Stegostoma tigrinum: one gene and its partner. Each later gene encodes a partner of the first gene's protein in a complex. Links are inferred from orthologs where the notes say so. Each region holds a gene or a part of one and is shown on either strand. Other genes may lie near its edges. The genes, in order: kcnma1a and calcium-activated potassium channel subunit beta-4-like.

The links.
Region 2: the proteins of kcnma1a (region 1) and calcium-activated potassium channel subunit beta-4-like are in contact, whole or in part, in a cryo-EM structure (PDB 6V22), measured with the Homo sapiens proteins. The link is inferred for Stegostoma tigrinum from reciprocal best matches to the Homo sapiens genes KCNMA1 and KCNMB4. Residues at the interface, in NP_001154824.1 of Homo sapiens: Phe98, Phe99, Leu102, Phe103, Leu106, Leu107, Arg109, Thr110, Tyr113, Leu114, Thr116, Val117, Asp238, Leu240, Trp241, Leu244, Pro327, Trp328, Asn330, Gln332, Leu367; in NP_055320.4 of Homo sapiens: Thr11, Glu12, Ala13, Glu14, Lys16, Ser17, Leu20, Leu24, Ile34, Phe35, Cys38, Trp39, His105, Thr164, His165, Val183, Leu186, Ile187, Leu190, Thr191, Ala194, Leu197, Ala198, Lys200, Ala201, Met204.

The regions. Positions count from the first base shown.
Region 1 is NC_081390.1:16,014,890-16,027,689, forward strand, and holds the start of kcnma1a (calcium-activated potassium channel subunit alpha-1a), read right to left. Parts: upstream 6,211-12,800; 5' UTR 5,554-6,210; coding exon 5,278-5,553; intron 1-5,277. UniProt on the Homo sapiens protein: Potassium channel activated by both membrane depolarization or increase in cytosolic Ca(2+) that mediates export of K(+). It is also activated by the concentration of cytosolic Mg(2+).
Region 2 is NC_081371.1:45,104,672-45,116,566, forward strand, and holds the start of calcium-activated potassium channel subunit beta-4-like, read right to left. Parts: upstream 6,129-11,895; 5' UTR 5,782-6,128; coding exon 5,446-5,781; intron 1-5,445. UniProt on the Homo sapiens protein: Regulatory subunit of the calcium activated potassium KCNMA1 (maxiK) channel. Modulates the calcium sensitivity and gating kinetics of KCNMA1, thereby contributing to KCNMA1 channel diversity.

The DNA of each region.
Region 1 (12,800 bases):
ATTGTGCTAGAAATGCGAGTGCCATCTGGCATAAACTCCAGGTCTGAGCATTCAAGTCTTGAAATTGGACTCAGGACCACAACTTTCTGATTCATACTAGAGTACTATTACCAAGTGGTGGACAACGTGTTTACTTTTGGGATTAAATGCAAAAACATAGACCGGTTACATGCTAGAAAAGACTGTCAGCGCTAGTGCTGACTGCCAGTGTGATCTAAGTCCTTGATTCATGGATCTTCGCAGAAAAGACACAAACATATTAAGGTAGCTTTACAGCAGACGTATTAATAGCCTGCTGTTGATTCACGGTAAACTCCACGGTAAACATGGACAGTGAACAAATAAAATGACCCAGCTGCATCAAATTGCATTGCGTGTGTCAAAACATCATGATGCAATTTTCCTGTATTCACCTTGTAATACATTCCTGAGCAGCCATTTGACTACATACAAAACATTTGAAATTGCAGCAGTAAAAACTGACGCCATCCTATGTTTAAATTCATTTGACAAGTGTGACCAAAATGAAGTTACCATCAGATACTTGAACAGACAAATGCATATTGATACCTCCTCTTTCAGTGTGTATGCAATACAGAGTTCTGCAATGCTGTTTAGTAACTACACACCAATTTCTGGAATCATACATGAACCAGAAATAAAAATACATTCAACAAAGCAAAGAGATGAAATTTCAGGGCTTTAGAATGAATGAAGAAACCAAGACATGTTTAATTATTAAGCTGCCTATAAAAAGCTGCCAAAAATTGTCATTCCATGTCTTTGGTGTACTACATGGCAACTGTTTACAGGAAAATAATTTCCAAAAGGGATGACATCTGAACCTCTGTTTTAAAGGTTTATATTTCAGTGGCATGTTCAAGGGAGGGGTGCTTGGTCCTTGATCAGGCCAATTCACATTTTCACCAGATTCCCTGCAACATTACCATCAGTGCTCAGGAGCTCAGCACTGAGACAAGGATTATGACGACATCATCAACTTAACAGGTCAATCAAAATTCCAACTTAAAAATACATTTGCTAGAGTTAATTAATTAAGTAGTGAAAGTCTTTCTCGATGTTTCCTCTACATCAATCAAAATCTACTGGCTTTTGTGGTGCAGTGATAATGTCCCTAATTCTGGGACAGTAGATCGGGGTCAAGTCACACCTATCATGGAGGTGTGTCATAATATATCTAAGCAGATTGGTTAAATAATTTTTTCACCAAGCCAAACTGGCCACCTAAAGCATGCAGGTATTAGTGATGCGTAACATGGCTGAAGCTGTTAATGACAGGCAATGTGAGGTATTTAAATTTGACAACAATAACCTGTTCCAGTGCCACCTGGAAATCATCCAGTCACAAGTGCAACTGAGTACTAAATGCTGAAGAAGGCATCGCAGCCCAATTCTGTTCCCACATAAACTAAGACAAAACACTAAACTTGCACCTTCCACCAGGAAGTTGGTGAATGGATACCAGAAGCAGTAACCTAAACAGATTTACTCTTCGTCACTTCCACAACAAGTCGGGGACTCTGCACCAGTCCACTGTCATCCTGGTTTAAAGCAGCTTCCCAGCATAAATCACAATGAATCTATGACTGATCTTTGAGAATGTCTCAGCAGCCCCATGAGCCTTGTGTTTATCCACTGATGCGTCAATCCATTGATGCTGCATAATGAATAATTAATATTTTGTAATTAGAGAAATGAGAAAATCGTTAAATCCGTCTTAAATTGTCAAGATAAATCGTAGTTAAATAGTACTCTTGTCCCAGTGGGGAAGGAGCAAAAGACTGTGGATTACATTGACAGTTTAGGACACTGTACACCCTTATTTCAGTGATTTCAATGGCCTTGCACAACCTAACAATCAAGTTTACACATTTTGATGTTGGTTTTATTCATAAAAAGTTTGATAAAATCATTGAGAAGACTGCATAAGAGCTACGCTGATAATTTCATTCTGTCTGGATTTATCATCAAGTCCACAACATGAATCCTTTGAATCCTTAAAGTTGTTCTGGATTTTAAATTACAGGAACCCCATCTTCAAATGTTTAACTTTACACAGTGGAATCATTAATAGATAAGGGAACAAACAACTTTTAAACAAAAATATTTTCAGTATGTTGGCCATTGTTTTAAATCAAGTTTTGTTTATACATACACATCTCAGGATGTTTCAAAAAGATTCTAAGTAAACAAAATTGGACACCTAGTCAGTCAGAAAAAGGAGAGAAGTGGAAGGGTTGGTCAAAAAGCTTATTTAAAGAGATAGCCACGAGGTTTTGGGCAGGGACTGCACAGTTTCGAAACTTTACAGCTTAAAGCAATGTTGGGACAAGACATGGTAGAAACGCACAGAGACCAAAGTTCTGGGGAATGTAGGATGGAGGAGATTGAAGAGATATGGAGCAATAAAAACTCAACACACCTGATTTTCACCACTAACATGTGGAGTGGCATCATCGGCTATTTAACTATCTTCTTTCTTACACTGGAAGCTATACACATTAATACACAGAACTTGGTTCTTCGCAAGCAAAAAAAACTACATACATTCAACCTGCTTCAATTCAACAGAAAAAGATAACTGGATCATTTCTTAGGGCAATACCTTGACCAGTCAGAATCAAATTGCTTGGTTTAAAGTGTAAACAAATCTGATAGGTAACTGTTAATCGTGCATTCTCCTCTTCCAATTAGTCCACATGCTAAGTAATTAGCTCTGGGCTCGGAGCCCAGGTTCTACCTGCTCCAGAGACATGTCATAATATCTCTGAATTGAACTGATTGGGTCTTTTCAGTGGAAAGCTTAAAGCTGTTTCATAAACTTGTGTTTTTGCTGGAGCTCAATGAACATGTATAAATATCGCTAAGAAATTACTCATTTTGTAAAAGCTTTTCATTTTGCTTTTATCAGGGCAATTTGCATGAATGCCAATTCAAGGAGAAAACCTACATCCAGATATTTTCTCATCAACCTGGGCTTGTATGTAGCTTATGTACACGATGGCCAATTTGTGATATGAAGTGTCATAAACAACAAAGAGATGAACAAGTTAATAGCATACTATTTCAGTTGGCAATACCCAGGAAAGACACTGAATGCTCCCATCTCTTTTATAAATACTAATATTTAAACGTCATGCAAAACTACTGAAGCAGGCAGCTATTATGTCTCACTTTAACATTTCAAAACCACAGTGCCTCTACCATTCAGCAGGACACCACAATACTATACTAAATCAAAAGAACAAACTCGAGTCTTGAAGTGGGGCTTGAACCCACAAACTACTGTGGGAGTGCAACCAAACTGAAGACTTGCAATCAATTTTGCACAGTTAACTTGCTCACTCAATGTCATAAATTGTTTTGTTTTTGAACTGAAACATAACCAAGATGGTTTTCTGTTGCCAAACATTGTATGTTACAATTTTAAAAACAAATAACGTGACCAAGAAATACATGCGCATAAAGTACAACAGAAGTGAAGTTCATTGAACCCAAAGTCCACTCCTCCAGTATTCAAGCAAGCTCTGCCTAAAATCCAAGTGTACTTTGACTATCATTAATAGACATGTCTGTGTTACTTCGACTGCCAGATTATTCTAAATATAAAGCTCTCTTTACAGGAAGAGACTCTGTCTAGTATTCTTTCTAAATGTATTTTTTGAGAGTCTATTTTTGATAAACTGAGATACTGTTGACAAATTAGGCTCCAAATAAGACCTTTGAAATGTTAAGATGTTAGCTGGTGTTGTACTTCATTGCATGCTTTCAAATCTTGAATCACAAGACCAGAAGGTATTCTCCCAATGTTGAACAAGGATGGGCAGTTTTGATGTTTCAGATCAGACAGCAAGACTGATGACTATTTCCAGCATATTTTGTTTTTATTTCAGATTCCCAGCATCTCCAGGATTTTGCATTTGTTTGGGCAGTATTGGATTGCGTATCCAGCTGCTTCATTCCATTCCCTATTAGTTAAAGCTCTGAGCCAAGCAGTGAGCGGCTCACGGACTAATTCAGTAAGCCCACAGCTATTTGTTTCTCATTCTACCTGGTAGGATAAAAATGTGCAGCTCATGCTTGATAAGGCTGAACAAATGTACAGTGCTATGTGGCTGAGGTCAATATTTGATTGCTTCTATTGAAAGCAAAATTGTTTTATATTAAATTGCAATGGCTGCTGGCAAATCTTTGACCTGTGCGAAATGCTGCATGTGAATGATCTGGCATGCAATCTCTGCAAAGGAGAACTAAATTGGGCTCGAAGCTTGGAGTGTGGAGGAGGAAAGTACATTTGCTCACAACTGAGTACTGAACTCATGAAAGGAGCTGGCAAAGCAGAGAGTGACAATCCTGTATTGAAACCTACAGCCCAGTACTAAAGCTACAGTGTACAAATTCTATTTTATATCACTTCACAGGTGGCTGGTTTGATATTCTGTCAGACAGCATTAATGTACCCCCAGCAATGTCTTCTGGTTGTACTGCAGGAGAGCAGTCATATGCATTCAGACAGAAAAAAAAATCTGATGTTCATCATTACCATTGAAACGCGGTTGGGTGATCTACAAAGCGAGTCTACTTTGGGAGTTTTACATCCATTACCTCAGAGACTTTGCACCCAACAATGGTGGCATTACTCTCAATAGTACGGAAGAGAATGGCATAGAGGGTTGATGAGAAATCAGGACCTGCGTCCAAAATGCAGCCCTCTTCGTTGAAATCTATCCGATTATACAATGCATTATCGCATCTTGACATTCCTCAACATCAGAATACAAACCATGATAAGCAAAATGACCCACAAGTGGATTGTTCCAGCGACACTGGAACTTTATTAAACTCTAAAACCAGGTGGAGGTGGCAATCGCGCGTGTGCATTGAACATTTACCGAGTGCAAAATCCTGTGCGGCAGCTCAGTCATTTTAACATCAGGCAGCTACAATAATATTAAAGCCGGTGCAGTAAAGCAAGCCTCCAAAATAAACAGCAGGGAAAAAACGAGTTTCGCTTTTATTCACGACTCCTAGTGGATAAAAGGGGCATTTTTGCACTAAATTCTCCCTCAGAAACGAGAGCGGAATAAGAGAGAGAGGAACCTGTTCAGTACAGGGAAGGGGGGGCGGCAGAATTTAAATGACAAGTTGATGGAAATGAACAGTCTTGAAGGAGATCATGTTATTGAGAAGGTCGGCGTCCACTTGCCCCACACACAGCCCACCCCCCCCAAAAAAAAACAAAGAAAGAATCTTTACCTTATTCTTGAGGCCGCAGTGACAGCAGACAGCCCACAGGTAATGGACGGTCCTCCACAGGAGGATGATGAAGAGGCCGCCGAAGAAGGTGACCATGGACGAGGCGAGGAAGGCCCACCACATGCGCTGGTCATTGCTGTCGCAGATGGTCTCGGCGTCGATGGGGATGATGACGGGATCCATCTTCAGCAGGGCCGCGGAGTGCCGGCGGCTGGAGGTGGCGGTGAAGGAGGAGGAAGAAGAAGAGGAGGAGGAGGAGGCGTTTCCCCGGGCCATGGCTTTAGCAGCGGGAGGAGAGGGAAAGGCCGCGGCGGCGGAGGAGGAGCAGGCCCTCCGCCAGGCCCGGAGCCGCCATGGCAACCGACAGCTTTCTGAGAGAGAGAGAGAGAGAGAGAAAAGCTTCTTCTCAACACTTCTCACAATCTCCACAACAACTGACGCACGGACAAATTAATAATCCCCAGAGCAAATTCCCATCAGTCAGGTTTATAATCCTGAGGGGAGGGGAGGGAGAAGGAGAAATAAAATAATGGACTGGTTTGTTTTAAAATGTCCCTTTCGTTTCTCTCCCCCAATCTTGTGTTCAGAAGGGGACTTTTAAATTAAAAAAAAAAGCCGTAGAATAGTTCTTCCTTTACTTCTCTTTCGAATAGATCGTTGCTGGTCGCCTCCTTATATCTCTCTTTCCCTGCAGCGGCAGGGGATTCCAGTCACATACATACACAGATACAAAAAGATCAATCATAAGTGGATTTCTGATTGTTGTTTTTCTCAAGGGGAAAAATAGACGGGGGGGGGGGGGAAAAAGCGTTCTTCAAAAGCCAGGAGATGGACAGACACTACTGTTGCTGCTGCTGCTGGGTTTGCTCCAACCACTCCCTCTCCCAGATCTGCTCACACTGGTTGCTGCTGCTTACTGACTGAACAGGAGCAGCGACTGATGCAGATCAGCACAGCCCCTCAGCGCTCTGTTACTGATTGCATTAATCAGATTTTCTCCCCAGCCCCTTCCATTTATTTAATTCTATTTCCTCAACCTCTTTCCCAACTAAATCATTTTCCAACTGCACACCACCACCTCCCCTCCCAAGTCAAATTGCCAGAGATGATTTTTTTTTGTTCAATTCGATTTGTGATCATGTTTGCTCTGCACAAAGAATGCATTTGCAGTTTCACCTTTTGCCTTTAAAGCGCATCTTCCGCAAATATCTCGACCTCCCCCGCAGCCACACCGATGCTTATTTTTTAGTGCAAATTGCAGGTAGATTTTTCCCCCTGAAATCATTGTCACGGATTTTGAGGTTTTGAAAACAGAAAATTGGTGTTGAGAGAAAAGCTGAACAGTTGCTGTTGTTTTCCTATCGATTTCTTAATGGTTGGTGATAAAAGGTAGTTATGATAAAGATCTAATTATTCATCGTTATACGTTAAACAACAGTTTTGTAATATTTGACTGCTAGCTGACATCTAGTGACACAGGCAGAGACCGAGCGCTCCAATTCAATACAACGGGGCTATAATTAGTTATATTTCCGTGGATATAATTCAAGCCTTGCTCCTGTTATATAAAATCCTCAATTCATTTTCAACTGTCATCTTCCACACGATGATTTGTCAATGGCCGTGTTCAAGAGGTGGAGGCGATGTTTATCGAGAAGATTCTCCCATTTATTGTGTATGTTCAGCATCATCTCGCGGGCTGATATCTCAAGATTGTTACAATCAATAACCCTCATCATCACCTTCTCGCAACACGAATCTATACAGTGGTGCCAGAGTGGCTGGGCTTTAACCCCTTCCAGTGGCTGTGCGCTTTCCCTTATTTTGGCATTTTTTTTAGACCGACAAATTACCAGCCGCCGGACCCATTAAAATAAGGAACACACACGCATTTAGAGGAAGCTTCGACAGAACAGCTTCTGCCTCAGAAACATCCACTGAAAAGGTTGCACCTAGGAATCACATTCAGAGTTTTCGGGGTATTTAGATGGAAAAAAATAGCTTATTGATTGGCAAGGGAGTCAATGCCACGGTAGCCAACTGTGCATCTTCGATATCAGCCATGCCTCCTGCAGACGTTCACATTAAATCCAGATTTTTGCTCGTTTGCTTGAACTTATTTTTTCAAACGTTTTATTCACAACGCTAAATCGCCAGGAATAATAAAAGTAATGCAAAATAAAGTTTGTTCCGTAATACCGAAAGCATTAAATAACGACGAACGAAATGTTTGTTTGGTAAACAAAAGACCACCACAAATTACTGATGCACAATTAGATAGATGTAGTCAAAATGGAGTAATAAATGCTTGCTGAAAAATGTGTCACCCAAAAATTGACTAGCTACTCAAGTAAAACACTGTCAAATCAAAGTCTGTTACACAAAACTAAACCATTTTATAATTAGCAGGTTTCGATAACTTAATTCTACCTCAGCACTGAAAGGGATGAACGTAGGTTTAAATAGAACTGTTAATGTGCTTGGGACAAACGAAGCAACTTACAACGTACTAAACCGCATGGTACATCTACTGCCATCTGGTGGCTGTGCTGCAGTTCTCCGGGTTGAGGATTTCACGCACAGAAACATTTACCTGGTTAAACCCTCAACAGGTGTTACCTGACCCGCTGAGAGTTTCCAGACTTTTTGTCTTTCGCCTAACTTTGTCCGCGTTGCAAAACTCAAGTTGACCGATATATTTACTTTAAAATGTTTTCTGACTTGCAAAGTGGGGAATTGAATTTGAAATTGGCATATTCAGAAGATTTCCAGTTTGTCAGTTAGAGATTTAGATAATTTGGGTTAGATAATGTTGTCCCTGAAAAAAAGGACAACATTCTTCAGTTTTTATTTGGTTCCTCAACAACTTTCAAATTGTGTGGCGTTAAAAATATAATCAATGAAGATGTAATGGAGCCTGATGGTTGTTTTAAGACTGTCAACATGCCATTATTGTGTTTATGCAAAAGTAGAACAGCTTTGTATAAAGTGGCAGCTTAGATCAAGAGTTAGGTGCCAGTCTGATTCTTATTTTATTGCGCTATGTGACTCTTGCAAGGAGCCAAGTTTCATATTTCACAGCTGGTCAATGGGATCTAATGGACACTACAAACTATACCTAAGCCTTGTTAGCAGTTTGAGAAGACAGATGTGCCTGTCCATTGCAGTATCTCCTCACATGAAAAGGAAAACAATGAATGAAGATGCAAAATACATGCTGCAGCAAGAGGCAAAACAGAAGTTACTACCATACAATGCCAGTTCTCCCAAATGTGTTCTGCATTTACAGACTTGAGAACAGCATTATTTTTATTTATCCAAATCTTATTTCAGTACAATCTCTTGCACCCACATGTTTAAACACTGCTGGAATCCTTCAATACATAGTATCTAAAGTTTAGAAAATAAATAAAATTAATGCACATGATGATAAGTTGTTAAACTTAAAAGTGGCAATATCACAGTGGAACATTTTTCTTCACTCATTGGCATGTAGATAAATTAAAAACAACAATGTTTGAAACATCTCAAAAAATCTGTTCGTACAAATAAATGTTAGTTCCCACATTTCTCATTATCACTTTGTATTAGCAGAACATATTATCAGTGTCAGTTGTCCCTCAACAGAAGCAGAAAAGCACTATTTGAACTTGTCCTTAACATATGACTGCAAATACAATTACCAGCCAGTTTTGTATTTTGATGCTGTGTCATCTTTTTATTGTCATTTCAATTATAGTAACAAAAGCTTTTATGAGTTCTGTGAGAAATTTCTCTGGCCATTATTTGAACAAAGGATGAGCCAATTTAAAATAAATTGTAATTCTATCCGTGTTAAAGATAACAAGACATCTTATTGAAATGTCTACATGGTACATACACTAGTATCATAATCTGATTTCATCTTACCAGCCCCACTCCAAGAATTAATTTTGAAAGAAACATGATGTTGCCAAAGTTAAAGGAGAGTTAAAGAAGCATTTTTATTCTGGTCATTTTCTATTATTAGCAAAACCAAGTTACAACAAGACTGAATTTCAAGGAAGAGCATAGTATAAGAAGATATTTAGTGGCACCAACATGGTCAGAATGCAAAACCGTTGAAAGATTTCAAAGTTTAATTTTCTCTCAGGAATCAGGTATAAAAGATAGAATAGCATAAGTGATATCGACATGTGGAAATGTAATTTTAACAGAAAATATTGGAATCATGTTTAGGTAGTGGCAAACATAATATTATTGAATTTTACATCTGGTTTGAAGGGGATAAGATTGGGTCTAAGACTGGTATTTGAAATGTAAATATGGTCGACTATGACGGCACGAAAGCTGAGCTATCCAAATTTATCTGGGATATTAGGGTAGGAAATAGATCAGTTGAGAAGCAAACATATGGAGCAACATGCGAAAATACTCACAGTAAGCTAATTCCTACAATGAAAAACAATTCCAAGGAAAGGACCTATAATCTATGATTAACTAAAGATATAAAGGAGAGCATCAAACTGAAGCAAAGGTGAATAACGAGTCAGATGTCTGGTCAGAACACAACGAATAGCAGAGAATGGCTAAAAATGTAATCAAGGCTAATACATTAGATCATCAGAAGAAGCTTGCTAGAAATATAACAAATAGCAAAAGTTTTTGTTGGCATCTCAAAAGGAAAAGCACAAGTAAATAAAGTCAATGAAAAGTGTGTTGCAAAGAAAAGTCATTGAACTCTAAACATTAAATTTATCTCTCTCCATAATCCTGACAGACCTGCAGAGTTTCTGCAGTACTTTCTTTTCTATTTCAGATCTGCAGCATCCATAGTGTTTTGGTTTTATTTAAGTAAAGTGAGGTTTGGTCTTGTAGAGGTTGTGAGTGGTGACATAATATGAGGTGAGAAAGAAATGGTTGAAGTAATGAATAAATAGTTTGCTTCTGCCTTTGCGATAGAGGATATATTTAAAAACCCCTTTAATGCCTGTAAATCAGGAAGTAGAAGGTAAAGAGAATCTTGGTAAAATTATGAACACAAGGGAAGTGTTACTGAACAAATTAATGGAGGATTGCAGGTTGATAGTTCTCTGGGTCCTGATGGGCTTCACTCTAGGGTCTTAAAGGGAAGTGGCTTTATGAGATAGGGAGCATGTTGGAGTTTTTTTCTGAAATTCATTACTGTTGAGAAAGTTCAATGGAATGGAAATGAGCAAATATCAAGAAGGGAAGGAGGCAGAAAACAGGAGGTTATAAACCAGTTAGTTTGACATCTATTGTTGGGAAGGTGATAGAATCTATCAGCAAGGAGATTACAACAGGGCACTTGAAAAATCTAGAACTAATCAGGAAGGATCAGCATTCTTTTGTGAAAGGGAAATTATTTGTTCGAATTGCTTGAAGGAATAACATGCAGTATGTTTTAAGGGGAGCCTGTTGTTGCATTATACTTGGATCTTTAGAAGACAGTAAGAATAGATAAATGCACTGCATGTCTTTCAACTTAACAAACAGCCATTTCTGAGTTCATTTCTTAGGACAATATCCTGACCAATCAGAATCAACATTCTAGTTCAAAATTTAAATAAAGCCTGACAATTAAATGGTCAATCATTATTAACTGGTACATTGTCCATGGTTATGCATCTACCAAGTCCATGTGCCAACCAATCAGCACTTTCCACTCATGGAATGTAAATGTTGGTTTTCCCTTTGAATTGATATTCTTGTGAAATATCCTGATGAGCGCAAGATGGAAAACTTTGACAAAATGTGTCTTTTTCCAACAATGAAGGTAATAATATTAAATATTAGTGTTTTGGATAGTAACTAACACTGAAAGATGATCATCGAGATATGGCAACAAATAGTTCCCAAAGCCTTGTCACTGCTAAAAAGTTGATAGGTTTCTTTTTTCATCCCAAAATCCCAAATCTTCATCACCATAATCACATTGTGGTGTATCCTACTTCATGATCTGGAGGTGGGGAGAGCACTCTGATATTTCTCATTAGTTGTTCAACTGACTATCACTATTCACAAACAATGTTATAAGCCGTCAGTGTTTGAATCCCATCCATTGACTCTGATTCTGATCAGCTTTATTCACAAAGTTATAATAACAGTTGATGTTACGAATGGTCAGGTTTCATCCCAGATGAAACTTTATTTATCATATTTTATTTTTGCTTTATTTCATGTGGCAGTCTTTTACTGAAACATAACTGCAGATTTGGTTTTAGCAATGAAAACAGGTTTATTAGATGAGAAATTAAAAATAGCACAGTTTAAAAGATTTCAAATTCCTGGCAAAACAAAATCCCATCTACTCCCCAATACCAACACTTGAAAATTAAAGTCTAGAAAGAAAACACTTCCCTATCAAATCTGTAAATTGGCTTAAATGCTCATTTTAATTTCCAGCCCTGTGAACTCTGAGGCTTGTTTCTTTGACTCACAAAACTGAGGTCTTTTCCATTAAGAAGACTTATCCCTTTAACTTTTCTGAACAAACCCCTTTTTGGGGGAAAAACTATTCTTACATCTGCCTTCAGTCAGATCTCCTTCAAACTAAGCCAGGTGTTTTTCTACTTCTTGTGTTTTTCTAATCTCAAATCAATCCTTATTTTCTAAACCCAAGAGCAAGTTAATGTATTTGGTATTTTCTCTGCCCTTTGGTAAAACCCGACAATATAAACGAACTTCCATTAACCATCCAAGAGGCTTTCAGTCTCATGTTTTCCGACACATACTGGTTTAAAATTATTGCTTGGTAAAATCCGATCTGATTAATTATTAAAACTGTCACATAAATCATCTAAACTCATGTGCAACTAATTCAAAGTCCAAAATCTAAAAAAAACCCTTTTAGTTATTATCTTTTTATAAATCACAAAACAGTGTACTAATTCTGCTGTTTAGCATGCCTACAGTCTGATGATGTAACTTCACCAGATTGAGACATTCTTTTTAAAACGTTTGAATGAAATATAGTATCAGATTTCAGATCAGTCACAATCACTAAATGTATCACTAAGTCCCAAGGACAAAAGAGTCCAAAGGTCCAACTTCTGAAATTTACTCAAATACCCAAGAAACCAGCAACAAAAAGACAATAATCAAAATCAACATTCACAAACAGGTAAACATCATAAAAATCAACAAGATTCTTCAGTGAACTTCTTAAGATTGACAACCTATTTTATGTGATTTATGTCAATATAGTAAACTTAATTTAATAATAATATATTAATTAACAGAACACTTCATCTAATAATTGTATTAGGTGGCTGCAGGTCCCCTTCTACATGCGACTAAATACAAGAGTTTAAAACTTTGTTACTCTTTCACCATTTGAAGATTACCAGCTGCTGTGGAGATATTGAAAGAGGATACCATTTTAGATATGTCTAAACAGGTTCATTAAAATAACTACAATCTTAGTCAGGTCAAAATCTGGGATGGTGACACACTGAAACGCATGATCATCTGAAGTGCACACCAGAAGGTTAAAGTTAAGATTTGCAGATTGTGGGTATCAT
Region 2 (11,895 bases), on another chromosome or scaffold:
GTTACATTTTAGAGAGGCTCAAATCAGATGGCATTACAAATGGGAGAAAATGAGTTTACAAAATAACTGCACATATTTAACTTTGATTTTAGATGAGCTCGGTTATGTGTCAGGCCAATCACCATTGCTCCTGTGGTTTTGGAGTAGATCTGTAGCTTGGGCTGTGGGCATTGAGGGTAGTTGCTTCACCAAACTGGTTTTTTTGTTTTGTAGACATTTCATTGCCGTGCTTGGTAACATCCTCAGTGCAGCCTCCGATGAAGCATCGGTCTGTTTTCCTCACTCCCGGGTTTCCTTCATAGTGGAATGCATATGGGGTCGAGTTCAATGTGTTTATTAATAGTATGCTTCGCGGAGTGCCACGCTTCCAGGAATTCTCATGCTTGTCTCTGCCTAGCCTGTCTCAGGATCTTGGTGTTGTCCCAAGAAGTGGTGGTTCTCCTTGTCCATGTGGATTGAGATCATTAAGTATTGGTCATGTCTTTTTGTAGCGAGTTGGTGTTCTACTCTTGTCGTTAGTTTCCTTCCTGTTTGTCTGATGTAGTGTTTCTCGCTGTCTCTGCAGGGGATCTTGTCAATGACATTGATCCTGCCCATGGCAGGGAGTGGGTCTTTAGTTCGGCTGAGCAGTTGTCATAGGGTTGATGTGGGCTTGTGTGCCACTCTTGATGCCCAGCAGTCGTAGGAGTCTTGTGGTGAGTTCTAACAAGTTCCTGATGTAGGTTAGTGTGATGAGTGGGTCGGGGCGTGTAGAATCTTTCTGATGCTGTTCGTGTCAGCATCTTCTGACCCAATTCTTTGGATATCCATTATCCTTGAACACTTGGAAGAGGTATTGTTCTTCCCCTTGGCGTAGTTCCATATTGCTGCAGTGTGCTGTTGCCCATTTAAACAGTGTTTGCACGCAGCTTTGTTTGTGCATGCTGGGATTGTCACTGTTGAAGTTCAGTACCTGGTCTGCGTGTGTGGTGTTTTGGTGTATTTTCGTTTGCAGCTCCCCATTTTAGGTTAGATTAGATTCCCTACAGTGTGGAAACAGGGCCTTCGGCCCAACAAGTCCACACCACCCCTTGGAGCATCCCACCCAGACCCATCCCCCTATAACCCATACACCCCTGAACACGACGGGCAATTTAGCACGGCCGATCCACCCAACCTGTGCATCATTAGACTGTAGGAGGAAACTGGAGCACCCAGAGGAAACCCACGCAGACACGAGGAGAATGTGCAAATTCCGCACAGACAGTTACCCGAGGCTGGAATCGAACCCGGGTTCCTGGCACTGTGAGGCTGCAGTGCTAACCACTGAGCCACCGTGTCACCCTGGGAGTTGTTGGTTCTTCTCCTCCTCTCTAGTGAATTTTATTCCGATGAGGGTGTTGTTTATAAGTTTGTGTGTCTCTACTAATTTGGTCTGTTTAACGATGACAAATGTATAATCTCCGTAGCATATCCACTTTTTAGGTTGGAGTTGCAGAAGGGCCATCCTTTCTAGCCTTTGCATCACTGCTTCTGCTATGAGTCCAGAGATAGGCAATCCCATGGGTGTCCCGTTGATTTGCTCGTATGTTTGGCCATTGAAGGTGAAGTGGGTTCTCAGGCATAGGTCCAATAGTATTAGCATGTTACCCTTGGAGATGGTTTCACTGGGGTCATATTCTTGTTCAAGTAGTGTTGTCATTGTTCCCCTTGCTAGTGACAAGTCTATTGATGTGAATAGGGCAGTGACATCAAACAATATCATGGTCTCTTCTATCTTTATGCCTTTGATGGAGTTGAGGAATTCTTGGGCTGAATGGATAGAGTGGGGTGACTTGTTGACTTGGTGCCCGAATCTTCATTGTAGTTCCTTTGCTAACCTGTGTGATGGAGTGCCTGGGTCTGAGGGGTCATTTGGCTTGTGCACTTTAGGGAGGCCGTCGAGTGGGGTGTGTTGGTTCCTTCAGGTTCCATTTTTAAGAAGTCTGTTTTGTTGATCTGTCCAGTTTGCTTAAGTCTTTGTAGCATGTGAAGGATTTTTTGCCTAGTTGCGGTGTCAGGTTAGTCTGTACTGGCCAGTATGTGTTCTCATCAGCAAGCAGTGTTTGTGCCGTTGAGATGTAGTCCCTTTTACTCATTATCACTGCCAGGAACCCTTTGTCTGCAGGTAGTATAGTGATGTTCTTGTCCTTCTTTAAATCTGTCCAGGGCTTGTCTTTGCTGTGCGTTGAAGGTGGTGAGTTCCCTCTTTCTGGTTAGTGTTAGGACTACTATCTGTCTTATAGTTTGTACTGTTTCTTCATTGATATTGTTGGTCTTGAGTGTGGCTTCCAGTGTAGATGGCCATTCTGTTTTATTGGCTTCCCTGTAGTTGTAGTTCAGTCCTTGGGTGAGAACTACTTTTTCCACGTCTGTCAGTTTCCCGTCGGAGAGGTTTCTTATCCATGTGTCAGTTCTGTTCTTGTCATTTTTGTGGGTAAGGGTGGCTAGCTTGTCATGCAGGGTCTGTCTTTTCTTGGCTTTTGTGGTCTGTTGGCTGATGTTAATGGCTCATTCCATGTCAGTTGTCCAGTCTTGATTGGTAGCTTCCAGGAATAACATTTTTTGGTACATAATTGCTCTGTTGTATTTATGGAGCCAGTTGGGTGCATAGTTTATCATTACCCTTACCATCTTGCAGCCATTTTGTACTGCTGTTTTCCAGGCTGTGGGTTGTTGATGGGTGGTTTGTACTTCACACTGTTGGTAATACCCCGTTCCTAAGGTATCCAAGTAGCGAGTAGAGTGGCTCGCAGGTTGCACTCTCTCATTTGGCATAGTTTTCCCATTTTCTTGCCAATTCAAGCATGTTGCACCCATAGGTCTCTAAGGTTTTAGAAGACCTGTAGCTCTGGTTGTGGGTTTGGAGATTGATTGGCTCCCTGAGCTGGTTTGTTGTTTTGCAGATGTTTCCTTCATGTACTTGGTTGTAGCCTCAGATGAAGTGTCGGATATGATGCCATAATATATAAGATGCCACAGTAACCATCCTAGCACACACAAAAGAAGTTGTATGTGAACACGGTTTAAAAGGACAACACACTGCAGCAGCACGGAACTACACCAAGAGGAAGAAAAATATCTCTTCCAAGTGTTCAAGGATAATGGATATCCAAAGAATTGAGTCAGAAGATGCCTACAAGAACAGCAACAGAAAGATCCTACATGCCCCAACACACTCAAACTACCCTACATCAGGAACACATCAGAACTCACCACAAGACTCCTACGACCACTGGGCATCAGTGTGGCATAGGAGCCCATGTTAACCCTACGACAACTGCTCACCCAAACTAAAGACCCACACCCCACCATGGACAGGACCAATGTCATCTACAAGATCCCCTACAGACAGACGGTGAGAAACACTACATCGGACAAACAGGAATGAAACTAACAAGAGTAGAACACCAACGGGCTACAAAAAGACACGACCAATACTCATGACTAGGACAACACCAAGATCCTGGCACAGGCTAGGCAGAGACAAGCACGAGAATTCCTGGAAGCATGGTACTCCACGAAGAATGCTATTAATAAACACATTGAACTCGACCCCATATGCATTCCACTACGAAGGAAACCCAGAAGTGAGGCAATCCATCTCAATGGACCAGAGTTTAAAAACCAGACAGGAAAACAGACCGACGCTTCATCAAAGGCTGCACTGAGGATGTTACCAACCATGGTAAAGAAACATTTGCAAAACAACAACCCAGTTTGGTGAACCAACCAACCTCAACACCATTACTCCTGCTTTCAGATACACTTTCAGCTGATAGGAGGATGCTGACCATTGCCCCAATTCAGCATCACTTAAAATGCCAACACCTTGCTGTCCTACAAATAGGCAGCCCTATTTTGTTGGGAGGTTGCAAGCCATCATATACCTTCAAAGACACTGATTCATGCAGAAACACAGTCCTGTTGGCATCATGGCTTTCCAGTACCTTGCTGAAATGTACATTCAGCATGATGGAAATCAACAGGACAAACGTCACCAGAATATTTCGTTTTAAGGGTATCTCAATAATTTCCAATCCTCTTTGAAAAAGCACATTTGACACTCTTCAGCACAGGATAATGATTATTGAACAGAAGTGGGAAGTCTGACCATCTTTAGCACACTGCACACACAGGCTCATTGTAGGAACATAATTATTTCTGTTTTCTTGCCTGTTTGGTTTTATTTCACATCTGGCAGATCCTCTCCCAACTAATGGAGCTCAAGTGAGACTGGCAAATATCAATTTTCATGTGGTGTTTCATAATTTGGAACTGCTTGCATCTAAATATTATCAGTGTTTGTACTGTTTACATATGTCTTGATATTCTTGCCCCAAAATGTAAATCAGAAGAGCCCAGCAAGTGGATTTGAGCTAAGCCAGTATCAATTTTAATGCTACTTCTGTAGGTTTCTTTTTAGTTGAACAACTGGAAAGAATTTCAAAAAACACAACTGTGTTATATTTTATTGAAATACAATTGTTTGAATGACACCGGGCTGTATTTTTAAAAATTGATTATTTAGACAAGTTTATCTCCAAATTACTCAACCAAGATTTCTGTGTCATTTACTCGGATGTGTGATTAACCTTTTTCTTTAGAAAAACCCCATAGCATCTATTATTGACTTTTTAAAAATGAATTGGCTTGGAATATTGGATAGCTGCACTTTATTCATACATTACTTCATCAATTAAGTGCATCCTGGATTTGATAACTACACTAACCTATGTAAATCAATACGACAGAGATTTTAAAAGGTTTCAAAATACAAATTACTTGTTGAATAAAGTCAGGAAGCATCTTTAAGCCTTTGTTCCATTAGTTGTTGTTCATACAAAACAAAAAACTTTTACTGAACAAAAGCTTTGCATTTATAATGTACCGTAGAGGACATTCCAAAGTGCATTGCAATGAATGAAGTACTGTTGTAAGGTAGGCAGCCAATTCTTGAACGAATAACGTTTGGGTGATGCTTTTTGATTGGCAAAGGACGGCCGAAACACTGGGAGAACTCACTCCTCATCGAATAGGGCTGTGGGATTTACCCACCTGAGGGGCACAGAGAACTAGGTTAAACATCTTATCCAAAAGACAGCACTTCCCTAGTCCCACATGGAAGTCTAACTGGGATTGTGCGGGGACTTAGAGATCAGACAATTGCCACCTAACAACACGATGGTGCATGTCTATTGTACAGTTAGGTAACATTAGTAATTACTGATTGTATATTCACCTCTGAATTATCTAAAAGTTACTGTATCTTTTCCAGAAAGTACAATTAATATATTAAAGAAACTGCACGCGCTAAATAAGATGCCGTGGAACATGACTGCAAAATATATACAACATCGTTAAACGTTCATGTCCCTAGGTTTATTTTAAGCCTCTTTAGAGTGACACAGCAACAGCTCACTTTACCTTAGGGTTTCGAATGAGTTGTTGTTCGTCATAATGGAGCAGCGCTTGGCTGTTAGTTTGGGAATTGTTTACGAAGATCTGGAGACAGGGATAGAGCGACGTGCCTTTGCAATTTGCCCCACATGTGAAAGTGCACTCAGACATCTCAGCGATTTGCCGCAACGACAGCACCGTACAGTTAGCAGCCTTACACTGCATGTTGTTCAGCGTGGGGTTTAACCAGCAAAAGCCAAGGATGAATAAGGAGACGATGCCGGAGACTATGAGGAAGAAGCCGAGCCTAATGCTTTTATCCTCGGCCTCGGAATACTCATAAGTGACCCTGGGCTTCGCCATCAGATGGCGACTCGCTCGCCCTGAGGAAGTTCTCAACACATCCACAATCTAGTGCAGGCTTTAGCCCTGGGCAACCGCTTTAAAAACTTTCCACAGTTCAGCCTCGACAACCGGCGGCTAAAACTCCTGAATAACTTCGTTGTTGTTGCAGAGGAAATATCCGCATTTTGTTCGCTTTCTTTTTGGGCATGTAAAAGCTACGTGCGGCTTTCCCTCTAGCCCCGATGCCGCTGTGCAAAGCCTGTCAGTTACATCTGGATGAGGTAAGCTACTTAGATAGAAATAGCTCACAGCTCTCAGCGGCTGCTGTTTACTAACTGCTCTGCTAAGGATCATATCTGCCAGACTGAGCTGCCAGGCAGTGGGAGGGTCTCTGTGCTAATGATGCCCCCGAGGAACTGGCAGATGGCATTTCTGGATCCGCCTTTGGGTGACAGAGACTCCCCACTACAGAGTAGGGCTGTGGTACAAGGCATTTCCCTGAGGGCTGCAGCCTGGGCGTGTTTTACCTACAGAACCCTATGTCCCAATAGGACAGCATTTAAACCAGAAATAAGTCTCCAATTTATAGCATCCGCAGTTCTTTCGGTTTTTATTTCGTATTTAATCCGTCCTTCCTATCAACCGTTCACTAAGTATTAAAGTTCTCTCACTGTCCGCAACAGAGCACGTTAAGTTCATTATATGGTTGAGGAAGGCATGTCACAGTCACATAATAGAATTCTAAATAGAACCAGAACTTGCGCTAATGTAACTGATACATTGATCAGATAAAATACATAAACTTGTGAATAAGGATGCTGTCGTGAGTTTCAAATAGAAGAGTCTGAAAGAATCTCTCCAGATGCAGAAGTCATTCCGAGAGGTCCATCAATAACTTTGCGCTATATTTACCTGGCGCCCATCTCCGTTCCCGAGGTGATCCTGTAAAATGTTAAACCAGGGCAGCAGCACGTCGCGAAGAAGCGGCGGAGAGACAGAGCAGTCCATTTCATGCCCACGATCTGTTAATTGAACCTGGCCCAGCAGAAAGCGGCTTTCCTTCCCTCTAACATTTTTCTTTCCTGCCTGTGTATAAATCACATCGTGGCGGTGGGGCGCGTGGAATTTTTTCCAGTTCCTCCAATTCCTCTCTGGGCAGTCCGATAGCATCAAAGAGCGCCAGAAATCGCGGAGATTTGGAGCACAGTTTGCGCCCTGAAACAGCAGCAGTAGCGATGAATTTCCATTGTATAACACTGCCGCCAGGGCACGGCCTAACGCCCGGGGGGGTCCAACAAATCACCCTACTGGATTCTACGGAACTTACTCACTGAATGCTGCAAGATGCCTGCAAGGCTGAAAGATAGTGTGCTTTTACCTCCAGCTTCATTTGGAGAGGGGGTACGCTATTCCTCGTCTCGAACCCCTTCGTGGTCACAAAGCCACCCCAAGAGCCCGCCCCCTGCTTAAGGCTAACGGGGTGCCACCGGCATTTCAGTCAACTTCATTCCCGCAACTACCACCAGTCATATGACTGAACGCATACACGCTTACTCAAAACTACAAGCTAGATTCTTCACATTCCCCCGCCCCCAAAAAGGGGCTGTAGTTAACGTAGATAGCTTTCTTTAATAACGTACCTCCAGTGTGAGTACTGTTTTCGGTGATCAGCCACCCCACCGCCAGGGTCTGTGGAAAACGGGGGGGGGGGAGACTTGGAAAGATTTAGGGGGGCGAAGGTGGTGGTGGCGGCGATTGAAGGCACGGCTGCCAAACGGCGGCGTGGTTCAAACATGGGGATGGCTTAAGAGGCCAGAAACCTCCTGTAGGAGGTTACACTGTTGGACATGCTCTCTTCTGGTGTCAACAACAGTGTTGGACTCAAAACTCATCAATTCTGTTCCTTGTCCTTTCAACGATGGAAGTGATGAATTATTTGCTTACCATTCGGTTTACGTTTAACCAGAATGATGGGAGGAATAATCCACGTCAAGCAGTCTCATCATCTCACCTCACACTATGTATCTAGGAAATGGGATCAGGGTACAAATGAAGGTTGTGTATAGAACTTCTCATCTTCCTCTTCGGAACTAGCACCCTGCAAGGATCCGCGAATTAATGTCTTCGCTGCCTTAACCGTGTCATACTCAGTCTTCAGTTAGCGAGGTCATTAGCTAATTGACCCGTCCTGGAGCTCTACTACAGCAGGACCTATGAGAAAGGCAGGACGAGTTGGACGGAAAGCGTTCCTCATCTCAGACTCCTACCTTTTGAAGAAACAACTGCTCAGAATGTGTCGGGTATGTCAGTAGCTTTGCCAGCTGAAGAAAGGGAGGGAACTGTTTGGTTTTGTAAGTTACTTGCTGTGCTTTAAAGAAATGCATAGAAATGCCATAAAAGGAAAAGTGTTAGGAATATTTAGCCAGACATCGCAAAACAGTCCGTACAAAACAAAAAATGGATTATTCCATAACGTTTGCACTAATCTGGTAGAATTTTCAGTAAAACCAGACACTGCAGGTGCTGGGAATCCAGAATGGAAACATTTCAGGAAATGTTTGCAAGCCTGACAACAGCTGTTGAAACTGAATTAGAGATAGTTGGGCTGGAGGTGGTGAAGGGCCAAAGAAACCTTTTACAACTGCAAAACCAATTTCTTTGAACTGTCACCGAAAACAATACTCACACTGGAGGTACGTTATTAAAGAAAACTATCTACGTTAACTACAGCCCCTTTTTGGGGGCGGGGGAATGGGAAGAACCTAGCTTGTAGTTTTGACTAAGCGTGTATGCGTTCAGTCATATGACTGGAATCACGTTTGCCCGCTTTCTACTACATCAATTCCTACAATTCATGTTAAAATACTACATCTCAAGCAGGTATGTTACTCATTGTCTTATCATTGCTGGTTATATTTGTGACGACGTTGAAGTGACAAAGATCCATCCAGCTAGTTTCTAACTTTGTCTTCCCACTGACACAGTTTAAAGATGACCAACCTACAATGAAAGCAGGCTGGTTTATGGTTTCTGAATCACTAGGAATGTTAGCGAGGCAAGGTAAATCGAAAGCCGTATCAAAAACAGCTTGAAACGAAAAAGATGTTTAGTGTTACTGTGGCCAGTTCAGGGCAACATAGTAAAAAGATAAACATGATTTTTTTTAAAATGGCTTAACCTGAACAAACGTTCACCTGCTAGTTTGGCTCAGACAAATCATCCCATGTCCACACTACTAAACTTGCTAATCGTAAACAGGCTGAAGCTAAAAATAGCGTTCCTTAAGAGGGAGAAAACAATCGATTGGATTACCCCCCGATCAACAACTCCTGCTGGAAGTCCAGGTGAAGGGTTTCAGCTGATCAGTGTTCGTAGTTAAATTCACGTGTGAAGAATTATTAATCCGGTGGAGGTACTCAAGCGTGACCGATTTGAGTCAAAAGTAACAAGTTAATATCTGAAATGAGAACGGCAGAAATTACCAATGCAGGGGGAGGCTATTGCAATGTCTGTATTGGCTTTTTTTAAAATTAAATTTGGCGGATGAGTTGGTGGGGGGACGATAAAACACATCTTGTAAACTAAAATGGAAGGAATATCTAGTAGATTATGGGGATAAGGCCCAGCATCACCTCTTTTTCCAGCAGCTTACTTCCAAATAACTACTCCATGTGAACCTGTACGTTACTGTCCTGACCTTGGACGAAGGGTGGCCTTGTGTACAATGCCCAGTACAAACCACTTTTCCATTTCTGGTGTATGGTTATCGAACGACACAACCTTCGATCATAATTAAATTGGTTTGGAAAACTGGGTGACCTCGATTTATTTCAAGTACACATCAACCAGAACCAAATATAGAGCATGCCATATTTGGGTAAAGTGGGGTTTGGATTTTTTTAAAATGTTAATTATGGCCCCACTAATTAATTAACGAGTGAATATACGCGATTTGTTAGTTAATTGAAGCTCGAGTAGCAATTAGACCCTCCCAGCAGCTTTGCAGTCCAACTCATCTTAAAACAGCTACCCTTTTCTGTAAAGCGCTCGAGGATGGCGAACACTGAAATCGAACGTCTGTGATGCTCTCCATCGTCGAAGAGCACCCCTATACTATTGTTCTGTCCGGACATCTTGATGGCTAGATTCCTCCAAAGTAACAATAATAAGTATTCAGGAACGTATGCAAAAGTATTTTTCAGGGAATACCAGTGACATTAGCAAGTAATGTTGAAGAAAATATTTGTTAACAAACCAAATCAAAGCCAAACTACCTGCCATTAAACGTGAGGTTAATGTTGGTGAATACTCAGTCTACTAACTTCATTGAGTAGATTCTCGTACTAGTTACATTCCCTCCTCTCTTGAGCGAGGCTTAGTCAGTGTCAAGTTAAGGATAATTGAAATTTCTTCCAGGAATTAAATTCGAGGCGGTTCATTGTGAACATAGGCCCACATGTGCCCATAGCACAACAGGCCCACTTTCATCTCTTCATAAAACCTTACAACCGGAAATCTTCACTTTGATGTTCGGCATGAATTTAAACATGCAGCAAGCTCCCAAATACGCCAATATTTGATGTGAATTTTATCGTTAAATCAAAAGCATGCATCGTCAGCATAACTGTATTGGGTAAGAGGTGCTCGGTGATGGGGAGGGTGCTTCAGCACCAGTATGCTGTATTCGGGTTTTCAGAAAGCAGCTAAGTTCCCACACAAGTTGACAAACTAATTTGGAGCATAAGGTACAGGGTTGGATACCTTAGAGGACTTCTGGCCCTAGTGGACACTACCGCCACACAAAAGCCCCAACAACGGATAGTTGTTACAACAGTCAACTTTTAACTTCATTTTTGAATGGGCTTAATTTTATAATCTGCCATGATGGGATTCAGACCCATGCCTCCAGACCATTAAGCAGGGCTTCTGAATGTCTAGTAACATAGCGCTATGCCACCACCTTGCACATACACGATTAAAAATACAACTTAGTTGTGATATACTAGTATTAACTGAAGATTAGTTTATGGAAAGAAAACTGAAGAAATAAATGTGTCTTTCTCAGGTTTGCAGGCTGCTGTTAGTTGGAAACTGCAAGTAGGAAACTGCAAGTAGTGGTGTTTGGGCTCAGCTGTTCACAATTTGTATCAATATTGACGGGGGGCATTTGTGAAGTGATAGCGTTTCTATCCCTAGGACAGAAGGCCTTAGTTCAAGTCCCACCTGCTCTAGAGATGCGTAATTTAATCTCAGAACAAGTTGATATTCCTACATTTGGCAAGGACATTACAATAGGTGGAAACGTGTGGTGTGAGGAGGATACAAACACACTTCAAGGAGATTTGGAGGGATTGAGTGAATGGGGAAATATAGAAATGAAATCTACAGTGAATAACTAAATGCAGGGTATTTCTTAAAATGGAGAGACTGGCATGTATCCTTATTCGTAACTAACATGTCGGTGCAACAATCAGGAAAGCAAATGATAGTTTGACTTTTGAGGAATTTTGGTGGAGGACAGATCTCTTTCATCAATTGTATGGGGACTCTTGGTGAGTCTGCACCTGGAATTATGCTGCAGTTTTGGTTTCTACGCCTAATCACAGGAGTGCAATGAAGGTTTACCACAGTAACCGGTGGGAATGTGCTACAGTCCGATCAAGTGACGAGGCCCTGTATTCTGTAGAGTTAAGAATGACAGTGATCTTATTAAAACTTTTTAAAGGCTAAATAGGGAGGGTTTCCCTGGCTATGGAACATGGGAACAGTCTTACAATAAGCTACTTAAGACTGGCGTATGATGGGACTTCCTCACATGGAGGGCAGTGAATCTGTGGAGATTATGGAAATTCTGTAATCAAGCATGTTCAAGACCGAGATCAATGGTTTGAGATACAATTGACATCAATGGATTTATGGGAGTTTCATAGAAAAATGACTGAGGTAGATAATCAGTCATGATCTAGAATGGCAGAACAGGTTCATGGAACGGAATGGCCGACTGCATCTTGTTTCCATGCAAGAGCAGGGAAGTGGTGCCTGGTATCCTGGTCAGTATTTATCCCTGAACCTATTTAACAGATTAATCTAGGGATTACCACATTTCAGATTGCAACCAGTTTATATTGGCGT